Linked DNA regions of Diceros bicornis minor. The protein of the gene in region 2 interacts with the protein of the main gene of each other region in a pairwise test. Links are inferred from orthologs where the notes say so. Each region holds a gene or a part of one and is shown on either strand. Other genes may lie near its edges.

Evidence for each region. The genes of interacting proteins can lie anywhere in the genome.
Region 1: the proteins of SAT1 (region 2) and HOXB9 interact in binary tests that used the Homo sapiens proteins (3 or more experiments, as listed by UniProt). The two-hybrid records come from large-scale screens. The link is inferred for Diceros bicornis minor from reciprocal best matches to the Homo sapiens genes SAT1 and HOXB9.

What each region holds. Positions count from the first base shown.
Region 1 is NC_080757.1:37,350,220-37,357,399, reverse strand, and holds the start of HOXB9 (homeobox protein Hox-B9), read right to left. Parts: upstream 3,031-7,180; coding exon 2,514-3,030; intron 1-2,513. UniProt on the Homo sapiens protein: Sequence-specific transcription factor which is part of a developmental regulatory system that provides cells with specific positional identities on the anterior-posterior axis.
Region 2 is NC_080781.1:19,985,746-19,993,370, reverse strand, and holds SAT1 (diamine acetyltransferase 1), read right to left. Parts: upstream 3,074-7,625; 5' UTR 2,886-3,073; coding exon 2,820-2,885; intron 2,551-2,819; coding exon 2,499-2,550; intron 2,409-2,498; coding exon 2,325-2,408; intron 937-2,324; coding exon 835-936; intron 745-834; coding exon 704-744; intron 588-703; coding exon 417-587; 3' UTR 62-416; downstream 1-61. UniProt on the Homo sapiens protein: Enzyme which catalyzes the acetylation of polyamines. Substrate specificity: norspermidine = spermidine >> spermine > N(1)-acetylspermine. This highly regulated enzyme allows a fine attenuation of the intracellular concentration of polyamines.

The DNA of each region.
Region 1 (7,180 bases), on a different chromosome or scaffold from region 2:
CCCAGAAAGGGTCCCAGAAATGGGCCAGGAGTTGCTAAAGACACCTCCAGGTGAGAGGCTATTTGGACAGGATGGAGTCAAGCACATCCCATGCTTCTCAGCACTTCCAGGGCTTTGCCTGCCTCAGGGCTCCTCTCATTCATTTTCTCCACTTGGGTCCAAACTGATTAGGACTCAGGTCAGAGCCCAGCATGGCTAAAGCCCCCCCCCCCAGCACCACCAGACTGATGAGGGGTGGCTGACCTGACCGGTCCAGGCTCTAGCTCTGGGAGCTGAGAGAAGGGTTGGGCTGGGGGAGAGCGGCTTCCGATCAGCCACAGCCAAGAGACCTCCTGGCCCTCCAGTCCAGTCCGAGTACACCCTGCCTTGACCACAAACTTGTGTCTCTTGGCCACATGGCACCAGGCATGTGTGTCTGTGTAGATATCTCACCCCCACACACACAAACACCGCAAATATGGGTCTGCACTTAGAGACGCAAACATCCAGCACACTCCAATTCACATGCAACCCAATTGCAACCATTTGTCAACTCCAGCCCATGGACAAGAGAGCGCCGGGGGCTCACAGATAACTTATGGTTGCAATAGTCTCTTCTTTTCCGCTCCTGCTCAGCTCGCAGTTTTGTTAAAGCAAGTTCAGGGAAATTGGGAAGCAAGATTGCTCCAGTCCCAAGGTGGGGAGCCATGGATGATGTGGGGGGAAAGCCCTTCACAACACAGCCAGAACTCCAACTGGCTCCATGTGGTGAGGGGGAACAGAGAAAGGGGTAATTGAGTGGAAGGGGAGAAAAAAAGAGGAAACAAAAATACATACAGGCTTCTCTTCTCCTTACCATCTCTCTCCCTACCCTGGAACTCAGAAAAGTTGCCAAATAAAGCAGAGCCAATTAAAAATAATAGCCATCTTCTGCTAGATTCTTTCTCATCAAATGAAAAGCACTGAACATTTTTTTTTTTTTAAATAATCTGGTTCATCCTACACTAAGTACTGTGCCTTACCAACTTGCAGCGCTATTTCCTGAATGTGATTGCTTGGGATGGGACCCGCAGCCGCATTAAATATGAAAGAGGAAAAAATCTGTTAATAATTGATCCTAGCCAAACCGCTGCCTGGCAATAATGGGCTTTCCAGGCAGAGTTTGGGGGTTTGGGGTGGGGAGTCTGTTTGGGTGTGAGCAGGGAGGGTTTGGAAGAGCCCCTGTTACCCAAACCCAGCTCTTGTGATTCAACCTGGTAGGCTGGAGGTGGTGGGACCCTGCAGGGACCTCTGGGGAGTGGGGCAGCTCTCTAGCCTCCGGCAGGCAAGGACACCCCACAGGGACTGTGGGCCACTCTGTTGGTGGGAAATCTGGCAGGGCAGGCAGAGACTGAAAAATCAGAACCTCACTCCCCCAAAAGAGTAAGAAGTGAGGATTTGTCTCCTCGAGCCAGAGAGTTATTGTTTGGGGCTAAGAGCCCCCAACCAATTTGCCCTTCTCAACCTTAAAAACGAAAAATATGAGACCACTCTCCCAGTGAGCAGCACCTCCTGGAAATTAGCCAGACTTGGGCTCCTGGCGGGGGTGCTTTCGGAGGAGTGGAGGTGATGAGAAACTGTGGTCGGAGGGTAAAGTTCTCCGACTCGCAGCAGCCTCTCTTCTCCCACCCTTCCTCTCCCCAGGGTCCCTTCGGGCGGGATCTCTCCTTTTCCACCCCGGCGGTCGGCCCGAAAGTTCGGAAGCGATTCCCCGACTCCCCGCGAGGCGGACAGCTCTGGCTGGGGCTAAGGAGGCCCGCGGCGAGCAGCGAGGGGCCGCAGAAGGGCAAGCGGCAACCCGGGCGAGGATGCCAGGGAGGGGAGGGGGCGGCCGGAGGGAAGACTCCCGGGGAGGGGCTGGCGCATCCGGGGAGGGGGCTCAGGCACCGGGTCTTGGGCTTCCCCCGCCCCTCCCGGCGCCGGTTGCGGACCCTGAGCGGCTACTGCGCGAGATCTGCTAGGAAGGATCCTCCGCCAAGCTGTTGCATCGCAAATAAAATCCTAATGAGCCCCCTCCCACTTCCCCTTGGCCGGCTTTTACGGTCTGCGCGTGGCGCGGGGAGCTCTGCCAGCCGCGCGGTCCCGGGCAGCCCCGTGCGCTTCCGCCGTTGCCCGCGCAGACTCTCGGCCTCACTGGCAGCCTGCCCCGACCCCGCCAGTCCTCTCCCGGCCGGCCATCGTCAGCCCCTCTCCGGTCTTTCAGCCCTGGCCTCCGGGAGAGCGGGGGAAGGGAGGCCGAGAGAGCAGCGCGTTGGTCCCTGCGCCCCAATTCCCCCCTGGACTGGTAGTGGGGGCGGCGCTCCTCCAGTGGCATCAGTCTCGCCTTCTGAGACACCCAGCGTCCTCCCTTCCTTCCTCCTCTTCCCTCCGCCCCCGCTCGCTCTCCGGCCACCGCCGCGGTTTCCCTTCACATTGTCCGCAGTTTATTGCCTCTCCTCTCCCCTCCCCCTCGCCTGGCCTTCGGCCTGGGTATTTCCTCACTTTTTATAACTTACTTTGATCCGGCCTCTCTTTGTCCTCGCTTCCTTCGCAAATTTTATTGTCCCCGTAGCCGGGTCTTTGATTAGACAGGACGGCCTCCCTGCCCGCCGAAGTTTCCAAACTGTACTCGGGCGTGCCCTGCTTGAGCAGCTCCCCAGGCGCGCCCAGCAGCGGCTCCGCCTTCACCGCCGCCTGGCCCTGCCCCGGAGCAGCTTCGCCGCGCGGCGCCGGCTCCAGCCAGGTGCGGAGGTACCTGCTCTCGGCCGGCGGGACGCCCTGGGGCTGGATGTAGGGGTGGTAGACGGATGGCAGGCTTCCGGACGCGTGCGGGCTCAGCGGCGCCCAGGAGGCGCCGAACACCGGCGCTTTGGGCTGGAAGCTGCACGAGGGGAACTCCAGGTGCTCCGCGTGGCCCGGCTGCCGGGGGCTCGCGTACTGGCCGGAAGGAAACTTGGCTGGAGGCGCGTCCTCACTCTCGTGACTTATGATCGAGTCGACATAATAGCTGCTAAGCGTCCCAGAAATGGACATTCTCAGACATTATCCGGGCGCTCGCAGGGGGAAGGGAAGCGCTCGCGCGGCGGCGCCCAGGCAGGGAGAGGTGGCACCCAGACCCGTGTGAGGGCTTTCGGACGCGACCCCCCCAGCCCCCCACCCTCCCACCCCCACCCCCTGCTCAACTTCTCAGCCAACAAAGTACAGTGGAGCAGCCCGGCTCAGCGCTCCTTGCAAAATGATTGGTCAAAGTTTTTCCGACTGCCTGATAAAGCGTCAGCTCCGACATAAATCAATCGGGCGAGGGGGCTGCGCTCTCGCTGTCATCCGTCCGCACCGCATTCCATATCGAGGATGGATTGTTTTATGCTGATGCAATGTGCTATCACGTCAGGGCTCCGGTGGCCACGTAACCTCAGCCTGAGCTGCCGACCGCCCGGTCCCCCGCCTCTTTTGCAGGAAGGGGGGGGAGCTCTCGACATGGGGCGGCGGGGGCGGAGGAGAGGCGGAGGGAAAGCAGCGGGCTGCCTCAGGAGGGACGCAGGCTGTGGAGCCCTCTCCCCGGGCAGGTCCGGGAGGGAGAAAGGGAGAGCAGGGCAGAGGGAGGGAGAGAGCCCAGTCTGGGGAGAAGCCAGAGAGGCCCACAGCATAATTAAAGAGGAGGTGGTCCTGTCCCCCCACAAACACCTCCGCTCCACCCTGTAGGCCCTGGTTTCCTCTTCTCTGTCCCCTTGACACAAGATGTTTATTAAACAACAGGGCAGCAGCAATCCACTGGAGATGAAGTAAAGGCGATGGGAGAGAAGTGGAGGTTTTATAGGACGTTATCCCTTTGGAGGGGGCTCTCTGTAACTATTTGGGGAGGTTTACAGGCATGAGAGCTTCTCCTGATACCTCAGCAGCTGAGGGAAGAGAGAACAGGATAAAAGGGAGTGAGTGTCCAGGGATCCTATCCTAAAATTTAGCTGTCCCAGAATTGGAGCCTGCATGAGATTAAAGAGATTCAGCAGGCCCTGGAAAGCCGAGCCTCTGAGTTTAGTACGACTAGCCAAAGCTCCTTTAAATTTCTTGGGCCTCTCTCTGGTCCTGGCCAGAGGAAGTATGGGGCGAGGGGCACAGCCATTTCTCCTTTCCTCCATTGAATAACAGGCCAGGCCCTTAAAAGTGCCCAGATGGGGGAGCTGAATGTGGGAAAAGGTTAAGGGAACTTCCCTGAGGTGTCAGCAGAGAGGAGGCCCCGAGTTATCTCCCTTCCACCCAGTGAGGAAGGAGCCGCGTCCGAGATTTCGCCTCTCCTGTCCGGCTCCTATCACCCCGGCATTGCCGTTCAGAAAGATTTCCAAATACCGGTATTGGGCACCAGCGCAGATGGAGAGCCTGCGGGGTCAGTCTCCTGCCCTCCTGCCGCCTCTCCTCCTGCAGACTCTCTCCTTGGAGCTTCCAAATAGCCGGTTTTATTAGTATCTACTATTCGGCCCTGCTGGGACTCTCCCGGGACCACCGGCTGGCTTCCTGGCTCATCTCCCAGCGGCGGCTCCTCCAGCTCCTGTCCTGGGTGCAGCCGCTTTGCGTGTTGTGGGCGCTCACGGAGGCGCGGCCTCTGCACAGACCCGATTCTCCTTGGGTTGGGTTTAGGGGCAGGATGGGGCGCATTTTCTCGGCATTCTCCGACTCTGAACCCTGATAAGACAGGCTGCCCCCAGCCTGGTCCTTTTAACAAAAGCGGGGCCATTCTATTTAGAGGTTTTATCTTTTGGGCCATGTACCCCTCTGCCGTGCAGAAGGCTGCGGATCACCTCCGCACACGCACAGACACACTTCCGCCCGCTTTTCTTCCCAAATGAAGCCATCTCATGTCATTACGTGTGAAATACGAGGGCGATGCGCCATATTTCTTCACATTATGGCGATTTCAAAATGATTTTTTAAAGATCAATGCCGGCGCCCAGCCGGCCCCCTCCTCTTCCATCCCAGCTCTCCGAGGGCGACAGCCTGGCAGATCGGGAACCAAACAGCGTGAAGATCTGCTTTTTCCCTGGGACCCAAGTAGGGAAACAAAAGTCTGATGCAAATTCTTCTAAGTAGCAGTTGGACGCTTGGGAAAATCGAGGGAGCTCCCCGGACTCGCCAGCGAGAAAGCTGGGCGCAGAGCGAATGAATCACAATTAAGGCAAGGCACCTGTTCTCGATTTGCCAGACGCATGGAGTCTGCTGTTGGCTTTACCTATAATAAATATATCGTTCAGGAAAAAAAAACCTCTCCTGCCATAAATAACGGTGTTATGAAGCATGGCGCGCTGAGCATATGACTTTCTGTAGTATATAAATTAGGGCTCAAAAGGACATGGGGACTGTGGGCAGGGACTTTTTTATTTTTATTTATAAAAAAGTCACAGTGCTGGGCTGTTCTTAAGACCCAGGCTGTGCGGGTGCTGGGCTCTGACTGTAGCCCTTCTGGTTCCCACTCCTGGCCCTGGCTTTGCGGCTGCTTCTCTTTGCAACAAGAGAGAAGTCAGGAGGGCCACTTAGTTGAGGGAAGAAGTTAGAGGAGGAAGAACATTTATTTGGGTTCATGGCTTGTGCCCTATAACAGCAGACTCACCCAGCAAACAGGGTTCAGGTTTGTGAGTTGCTATCTGTCTGTCTGAGTTGCCTCTGGTGGCTCCTGGGTGCTGGGTGAGGCGGGGACTCAAGCCTCTTTTCTGAGAGCAGAGCTCAGCCTTTGCTCAGAAGGAAGCTGTAGGGTGGGAACAATTTCAACATGCCAGGTTTTAGAGGTCTCAGTCTTCTCAGAAGAGGTGACTCTGAAGGGAAGAGAATGAACTAGCCCCCTAGCCCTGGAATCTGCACCCCAGCCTATCTCCCTCCAGGTGGGGACGTGGATGCACCAAGCAATGAGTGCCACCACAACTAGGCTTTCTAGAAAGCATTGCTGCCCCCAATTGGAGCTCAACTCCAGCTCAGGCAAATGATTAAAGGGTCGACTGAGAGAGAGAGCCCCTTGTTTGGGTGCTCTGAGGGCCTATGGACCCTCCAAAATCCTTGTTTTCTCTCCTCGACAATGGTACCCACCACAACAGAGAGAGGCAAACAGGATGGCGAACTCTGGAGCCCCGCTTCTAGAGATACTTAATAGAGGGCTTCTTTCAGTGGGGGTCACTTTGTCCTGAGAAAGCAAAACTGCTCCCCACCCCACTCCCAATCCTAAAGAGAAAGAAGGACAAACCCTGCCTTCCCTCGCAGCTTCTTCCTATTCCCTGCACAGGAGCCGAGCCTGAACACAGCTGGGGCGGGGAGCTGGTAGCTCGGGGAAGGGAAAGCAGGGAAGAACTGCAGCCCCTGGCCACACTGGGCCCCAGAGCAGCCAAGAGTGAGGCCGAGGTGGGGAGAGCAGAGGCCGACCCTGGCCAGGACCAGCCGGTGAGTCCCTGTGCTTCAGGGGTGGCTTTTGGAAGGGTCCTGTTAAGAAAAGAAAGAAAATCTAGATGGAGGGAAGGAATGGCTTTCGGAAGGGTCCTGTTAAGAAAAGAAAGAAAATCTAGATGGAGAGAAGGAAATGAAAGAGAGAAGAAAAAAAAGAAAAACAATAAATGGGAAAAGGGAAAAAGTTTGTTTTTAATTGATAAGCTAAGCTGAAATTTACTCATGGTGTATTTGAATAGATGTGTGTATCCTATATGGATATTTCAAATCAATATTTCTTTATGGGGAGCCCAGTGTGCAAATGGGCTGTGCTCTATGCTGTGTATACAATATGTAATAAAAAAATCTGCCCAGCTATAATACTGATGTACTTGGGCGTTCGTATGTAAGATCTTTAATGGTGCATACGTAGACGCGTGTATAACCGCTGTGAGTGATGTGGGTTTACAATTCTGCTCATATAAGAAGATGTATGACCCAAAAGCTTGTGTGTACATTTTTATAACCATCACATACCTATGGAAAGGGCAAAAACTTAAGTATTTGTGTACTTGAATTGTGGCTATAAAACATCAGCTGATTCGGAAGCTTCACTTGAAAATCTGCCTGTTGACTTGATATTCAAGCAAAATATATACCGAAACCTCAAACAAACGCATGTGACTTAAATCTGGATTCTTTTACAATTTCCTTCTAAAATATTTCTCTGGAAGGTGAAGGAAATGTCTCAAATTGGCCCATGAAGGTCATGAAATTTTGTGAC
Region 2 (7,625 bases):
CTCAATAGCAAGAAAAATGTCTAAGAAATAAAGAATTAGTAAAAATGCTTACACCAAGCAATTAAATCAAAGGGTAGTTTATTAAAAAAGAATCAAAACAGAAACTCTAAATACCAGTGTGTACATTGTACACATTTAAATGACTCACAAGAATGAAGTTTTTTTCATATACATTAAGATCACACCACCTAGTTGTTTATCAAAAAGATGTTCAAGGAGAAATCTGACTCCGAACTGCATACAAGATTGCCATCTCAGACTGACCACATTTCAAACATGCAACAACGCCACTGGTAATAAAGCTTTGGAATGGGTGCTCATTCTATTATTTCACTACAAACAGGATAGAAAGCAAGATAAGTTGAGAATTTATTCTAAAATAGAATGGAAGCTGTCATCGTCTACACCAGCACTCCTCACTCCTCTGCTGCCATTTTTAGCAAGTACTCCTTGTCGATCTTGAAGAGTCTCCATCCCTCTTCGCTGGACAGGTCAGAAGCACCTCTTCTTTTGTAGAAGTTGATAGATGGTTCATTCCATTCTGCTACCAAGAAGTGCATGCTGCTGCAGCGACATTTCATCGCAACCTATTATATGGGAGAGTAAAACAAACTCAGTGACATTTCCAAGACCCAATTTTGATTCAGTCATTAAAATAATCCAATAACTCTTACAAATTCAGAAACCAAAAATCAAAATGTACCTGGCTTAGGTTCTTCAGAATTTCTGATCCTATGCCAAAGCCTAAAAGAAAGAGAAGTACCATTTAAAAAATCATCTTAAAGACTTCAAGACCTGATTCTCTTTAGAGCTTCCCCCTGAACTCAACCATACCTCTATAATCACTCATCACGAAGAAGTCCTCAAGATACAATAGTTTGCCAATCCATGGGTCATAGGTAAAATAGTACATGGCGAAACCAACAATGCTGTGTCCTGTAATAAGAGTATCACATGAGATGTGAATGAAAAGTAATCCATAAAAGTTGTAGCTGCAAAATCAGAGGCCTATCATAGGTTTTAAAAAATACACATGCATGTATTATAAAAATAAGTAGCCACTGAACCAGACTGTCTCTTGACTTTTATGCTAGTGCAGTCCAGGCCACTGCTGGATGATCTCACTGTTCTCAAAACATGTATTTGCAAAAAGCACACATTAGAGCTAGCTGAAGCCAGGCTTAAATTGTGGACTGGCCACTCTGCAATCTGCTGGATCTCATACTCAGGAAGCGAGAATGCTTTCATTATTTGCCAGAGCGAAACTGCTATGGTCTTAAACTAAACACACACATTATTCACATCCTATTGATATACTGGTATGTTGACTTGGGAATAAGTCAGGTTTACACGGCAGTTCAGAATAGTAAATATTTGTAGTTTAGAAACTCTGCTTCCTTAAGGTCAGGACATCAGGCCAAAAAACGCAACGTTTAATTTCAGAACTTGCCTTCCAATTCACACATTTTCAATTTGCTCTCCCCAGTTTTTAAGCCAGAAGAAGCAGAGATACCCAGAAACAGGTATTATGTAACATCCACATCCCTCTAAAAAGCACCTCACCCCTTACGTTTTCTGCTCATTTCTTCTAGCTTGGGGAACAGATGTCAGAAAAAAACTTAAGCACCCACCCCAACAACTTCCCCTTTTAGCGCTATCTTCTGACCAGTCAACAGGGACCAGCAAAACAAAACAAAATGTGACATCCTCTTATGGGTGTCTGTAATTCCAACTGGAGGCAAAGGTTTCAAATTAAACTTTCTAGCCATTTTATAGTCCTTTGCAAACACAGACAGGAAGCGAGTACAATGGAGTTTCTGATCTACCGTGTTTTAAGTGTGTGATAATAGGACCTTACCTCATTTATCATGATCATCTACTTTATTGTGTAAAGGATCTTTTAGTTACCTCCCCGCCCATCCATGTACACGGAAGGGCCATGTACATGGCGAAGCTAGAGACTGTAACCTGAAGATTGGGACAAATTAAAGAAAAAAATGTGATTTAACAATTACAAAAAAGGTTACGTTAGGGTCAAACAAGAACCATTTATGAAACTGAACTACAACAAATGACATTATACCTAACTCTTCCGGGTCTCCACAGCACTCTGATACTTACTTAAACAGCTCTTTTAACCCGCCCTATTATTAAGTGCCGCACATCTATTTTTTTTCCTCAGTAGTCTGAACACTGGTTGGCTATTATTTCTGGCCAACTTCTTAGTAACTTCGGCCTGTGTTGTAAGTGGTTCTCTACACAGCAGACACTACGATTTACACAACACTTGGTTTCTTTGGCTTCTGAAACGGGAGGACGGTTACCTTCCGGAGTCCCGTGCTCCTTGGGCACTTCTGCAACCAGGCAGTGGTAGAAGGGGTGCTCTCCAAAACCATCCTCTAGCAGATCTGCAAGGGGCAGCAGGGACAGACAGTGTTGGCCTCGGTAAAGGTGACAGGTACTGGACGCTCGTCCCTCGCCCCCCACTGATACATTACCTTTTTCAGTTAATATTACTTGCTCTTCCATGTATTCATATTTAGCCAGTTCCTGGGGCGATGCACACAGGAGACAGGGAGAGAAGCAGAAAACTAAGTGAGGCCCCGGCCCGGATAACTCAGAGGGAAGGAGGGGGCGGGGCGGGGTGGCGATTCATTCCCTGAGTCTGGCCGGAGCTGAGCGGCGCGGCCCTGCCCAGCCCGGCTGGGGCTGGGGAGGCGGGGGAGAAAGGGGAACCTGCGCAAGACGCGGACTTTCCCGGAAATGGAGCCGCCGCCCACCTCCCACCCCGCCCCGGGAGGAGCCCGGGCCTCGGCTACCTTGATCAGCCGCAGGATGTCACTGCAGTCGGCGGCGGTGGCCGGGCGGATCACGAATTTAGCCATTTTCGTCTTTTGCTTTTCTTCCCTTTGCGGACCAAGCCCCTGTACTTGAACAGCAGGAGGAGGTGGTTCCTCATTCGTCTCCCGGGAGCGTCCTCTTCTCAGTCAGGCTGGCACCATGACCCGGCGAACCTCGGTGAGCGACGAAAAACCTCCAGCTGACTGCCACCAGAGCTGCGCGTTCGAGCCGCCGCTCGGCTCTGCTTTTTAGCGCGGAGAAGCCCCGCCCCCGGCCGTGAGGCGGACGGTCCTCGTCCAATGAGGCCGCGCCCGCCTCCCCCCATTCCTGGCGCCGCCCTCTCCTCCGGGCGTCCGTGTGAACCCGGCCAGCGGGTGGGGTGGGCGGGGTGCGCGGCGGGGTTCTCTAGCGGCGCCCTCTAGTGGCGCCTCGTGGAGCCTTCCCGGAAGCCCGACCTCGGAGCCTACGTGTCCTCCAGTAACCTTTGCGAAAGGGAGAGAGCAATTCCCCTGGTGGCCCCCGACCAGTGACCTTGCTGTTTCTTCCTTGACCCGTCAGGAAAGGAAACTCAGACCTGGCCTTGGGTGATGAAGGGAATAGAGAGGCGATTCTCAAATTGTGATCCGGGGGCCCTGTGGGTCCCAAGATCATTTCAGGGAGTCTGTGTCAAAAGTACTTCCATAATAATAGTAAGATGTCCTTTGCCTTTTTCACTCTCGCTGGAATTTTCCAGAGGCGACCTGTTGTGTCATGAAGTCATTGCTCTGATGTCTAAAGGAATGCGTGCTTGTGTACTCTTGTGTTTTACAGAATTTCCTAAGGTAAGTTATTTGGATTCCTCAATAAGTTTTCCGCCTGTAGAGTAGTCCCACCTTATCCGCAAGGGATACAGTCCAGGACCCACAGTGGATGCCTAGAACTGGGTATAGTACTGAACCCTGTATATACTATGTTTTTTCCTATACATACATAACTATGATAAAGTTTAATTTATAAATTAGACACAGTAAGAAATTAACAACAATTTCTCTTGGGCATATCCGAAGTGCCAGCATCACTGCTCTCTCTTGAGCTTTGGGGCCATTATTAAGTAAAATAAGGGTGAGTTGAACACGAGCACTGTGATACCGGGATAGTCATGTGATAACTGAGATGGCTGCTAAGTAACTAAGGGGTGGGTACCGGTAGCATAAATAGCGTGGATACACTGGACAAAGGGATAATTCACATCCTGGGCGGGACAGAGTGGGAAGGCTCAAGATTTCGTCACGCTACCCGCAACAGCGCACAATTTAAAACTTATGAATTGTTTATTTCTGGAATTTTCCATTTAATATTTTCAGACTGCTGTTGACCGTAACTGAAACTGCAGAAAGTGAAACCGCAGATAAGGGGGGACTCCTGTACTTATAATTTTTAGAATTAACACAAGGTTTTATTTCTTACTTTTGTCCCTTCTTATTCTTTCTTAAATCTCTGACCTTCCTTGTGGAAACACTTTCCTTCTGCCTGAGTTACACTCTCCATAATTTCCTTTAGTGAAGGTCTGCTTTTGTAAAATTTTCTGTTTTGCTTGTCTAAATATATCTTTAATTCATCTTAAAATTCTTGAAGGATTTATTTTACTGCTGACAGAATTTGAGATTGGAAGTTATTTTCTTTCAGCATATTGATGATATCTGACTATCTTCTGGCTTCCGTTGCTGCTGTTGTAATCCCTACTTGCTCCATCCTCTGTGCTTCTTTTTATTCCCTTTTTTTTAACTTTCTGTTTTGAAATAATTATAAATTTACGGGATGTGTGATGACATCATTGCTTTAGTGACTAAAGGAATGTGTGCTTATGTATTCTAATGTTTTCTGGAATTTTTGAAGGTATGCATTTTGGATTCTTCAATAGTTTTTAAATGTCCTGGGAGCAAAATGTTTGAGAAGAGTTGGATTAGGTAAAGCTATTCCTGGATTGTACCCACTGGAACAAGTATTCAAGCCTCTGACAGATATAGTTTTCTTTTACAACCCACCTTTCCAGACAGACCTTCCTTAGGGTCCTGCCTGGTTTCCGGAGTGAGTCAAAGAGAAAGCATAAAAGGGGCCTGCAGCGTTCTCTTTCTGTGGAATGAGAGATTGGACTATCACCAAATGACCACTCCCACCCCCCTCCCCCAACATTCAACAAGTGATTCTCTGCCTTTGTTAGCAATATCCTGTATGTAAAAAAGAAAGCAAAAGTGGGTTCTCTCTTACCCTTCCCACCCTCTGGGGCTGTCATGCATAGTGAGTCACCGTCCGGTGGGAGTTTAAGCAGTGTCTTTCTCAAAGATCTTTAAAAATAGCATTGATTCTCATCTACCTAATCCAGGTAGTGTCTTTCCTGACACCATGACACACTGATGACCATTCATAGGCCCTTCCCTCCTCTGCTTTGGTCTTACTTGTGGGAGGCGGAAGGAGAGCTTGTTACAAATTTACTGATAACAGTAAATTAGACCTCTGTGACTAATGATAGCTGCCTCATTGAAGCAAAAACAAGACCATTTTCAATTTGGGTTGCTTAGTTTTTTAGAATAATGATTGTTTCATTAAAATGCATTATAATTTTTTTTCTGTTTATCCTGTTTTTCCAGTTTAAGTTTCATGCTCTTATGTTCAACTTTGCCATTATGACAAGGAAGAGCCTATTCTGAAAAACATATGGCTGACGAAAGCTCATTGTGATTGTGTTTGTGCACATGTAGAAGCTTAGAACCCTCAGAAAGTTGAGTTTTCTTCATGGCAGTGAATCAAGTTAGGCTTTTCCATTGTCATGAATAGATAGATGCAATGGATAAGCAACATTACCCCCTCTTGATACTGGAATTTAGATTTAAAACTGCATAAAAAGGGATTAACTGCCTTGCATTTGGAAAACTTTTATTTGGTTAATGAGTCAACAAATCAACAAATATTTATTGAGTCTTGTGCTGGGTACTTGGGGGTTATAAAGGAGGACTAAGTTTTGAAACCAGCCCTCAGGGCATACAGTTTACTTTTAGAGAGTGTGTGTAGTTTACTAAACAGAATTTAATCTTTGTGAGAAAGAGAATTCCTATAACTGAGGAGGTCTGAGTAGGGGGAGAGGAGGAAGGGAAATCGCCAAGGCATGTCTCTGCCAAGGCACGTGGTGGGTGTGGGTGCTTTATATTCATTGTCGCATTTGATCCTTACAACTGTCTTGTGAAATAGGTAATGTTAGCTCCGTCTTTATGACTGAGAAAACCAGAGGCTCAGAGGGGTTACAAAATTGCCAAAGCCGGGAAGTGGTAGAGCTGGGGGAGAAGGAATTCGGCTGATTTCGGTGCCAAAGTGAAGCTGTCCAACCTGCCCTATTAAACTATTATGAAAGATGTCAAATTTTTTTTATGTTTATGAAAGTAATGCTTACTGATTAAGAAAATTGGAGAAGTGCGGGAATATAAAAAGATAAAAATAATCCCTGTTAACAGGTTGGTTTCCTTCCAGTCTTTTTTTTATGTACATATACATGCAGGGCTGATATTCAGTTGGTATATACAGTGTAGTGGATTAAAAATGGCACAGATTCATTGCAGCTCCTCCCATCAAGAGGTAGAGTCTATTTCCCCACTCCTTGAATCTGGACTGGCTTCGTGACTTGCCTTGACCAACAGAATGCAGTAGAAGTGATGGTATACAACTTCTAAGCAAGACGTCAAGAGATTGTAAAGCTTCTGCTCATGCCCTCTTGGAACACTGCTGCTGCCATGTGAAGATACTTGAGCTAGTCTCCTTGAGGATGAAAAACCTCATGAAGAGAAAGGTCCAGCTGACAGCCAGCACCAAAAGCCACGTGCGTAAGTGAGGTCATCTTGGACCATCCAATCCTAGTTGAGCTGTCAGATGATTGCAGACACACAAGTGACTCTAGGAAAGACTAACAGAAGAACCACCTTGTTGATCCCAGCGCATGTTATCAATCCACAGAATCATGAGCCAATAAAATGGTTGTTTTAAGTTGCTCAATTTTGGGGTGGTTTGTTACACAGCAAAGGTTAACTGAAACTAGATGGCCATTTTGGTTATTTACACCTGGCTTCCATTCTGAGTGGTTGTAGTGTCCCTTCTGACTGGTCTGTGCTTTGCTGTACTCGTTTTAAAATATTTTTAAAGTCACCTGTGTGTGTGTGTGTGTGTAGTAACAACAAATTGGTATCATATATATCTATAAATTGTATCCTGCAGAATAGTGTAGTGGCTTCTTAGGTGCTACAGCTTTGGAATTAGCCACACCCCATCTATGTGATTGTGTCAAGTTACTTAACCTTGTTAAGTCACCATTTCTTCATCTGTAACAAGTAAATAATAATGATATCTTTCACATGGTTAGTCGTTCTGAGGATTAAATGAGGTAATATATGTAAAGTGCTCAGCACAGCACCTGACATAATTGTTAGCATTATTACTATTAACATTATAGTATAGTTTCCCGTGTCATTACGTATATTTACATTAAAAAAATGTAATGGCTCTTTAGAGTTCCATTGTGTGCAATTTATTTTGCCATTCTGTTGTTGAAGATTTAGGTTTTTTCCAATGATAAATAATTCTTTGATGGACATCTTTCCACCCAAGTTTTGGCCCGGGTTTCTGATTGTTTCCTTAGGTAGATTCCTAGAAGGGAAATTGCTAGGTAAGCAGAGGTGAAATTTTGTTGATCTGGAGCCAGAGAAACACTCTAAATTCAGATCCTCATTACATGAAAATATAGATATGAATGACTCTCCAGA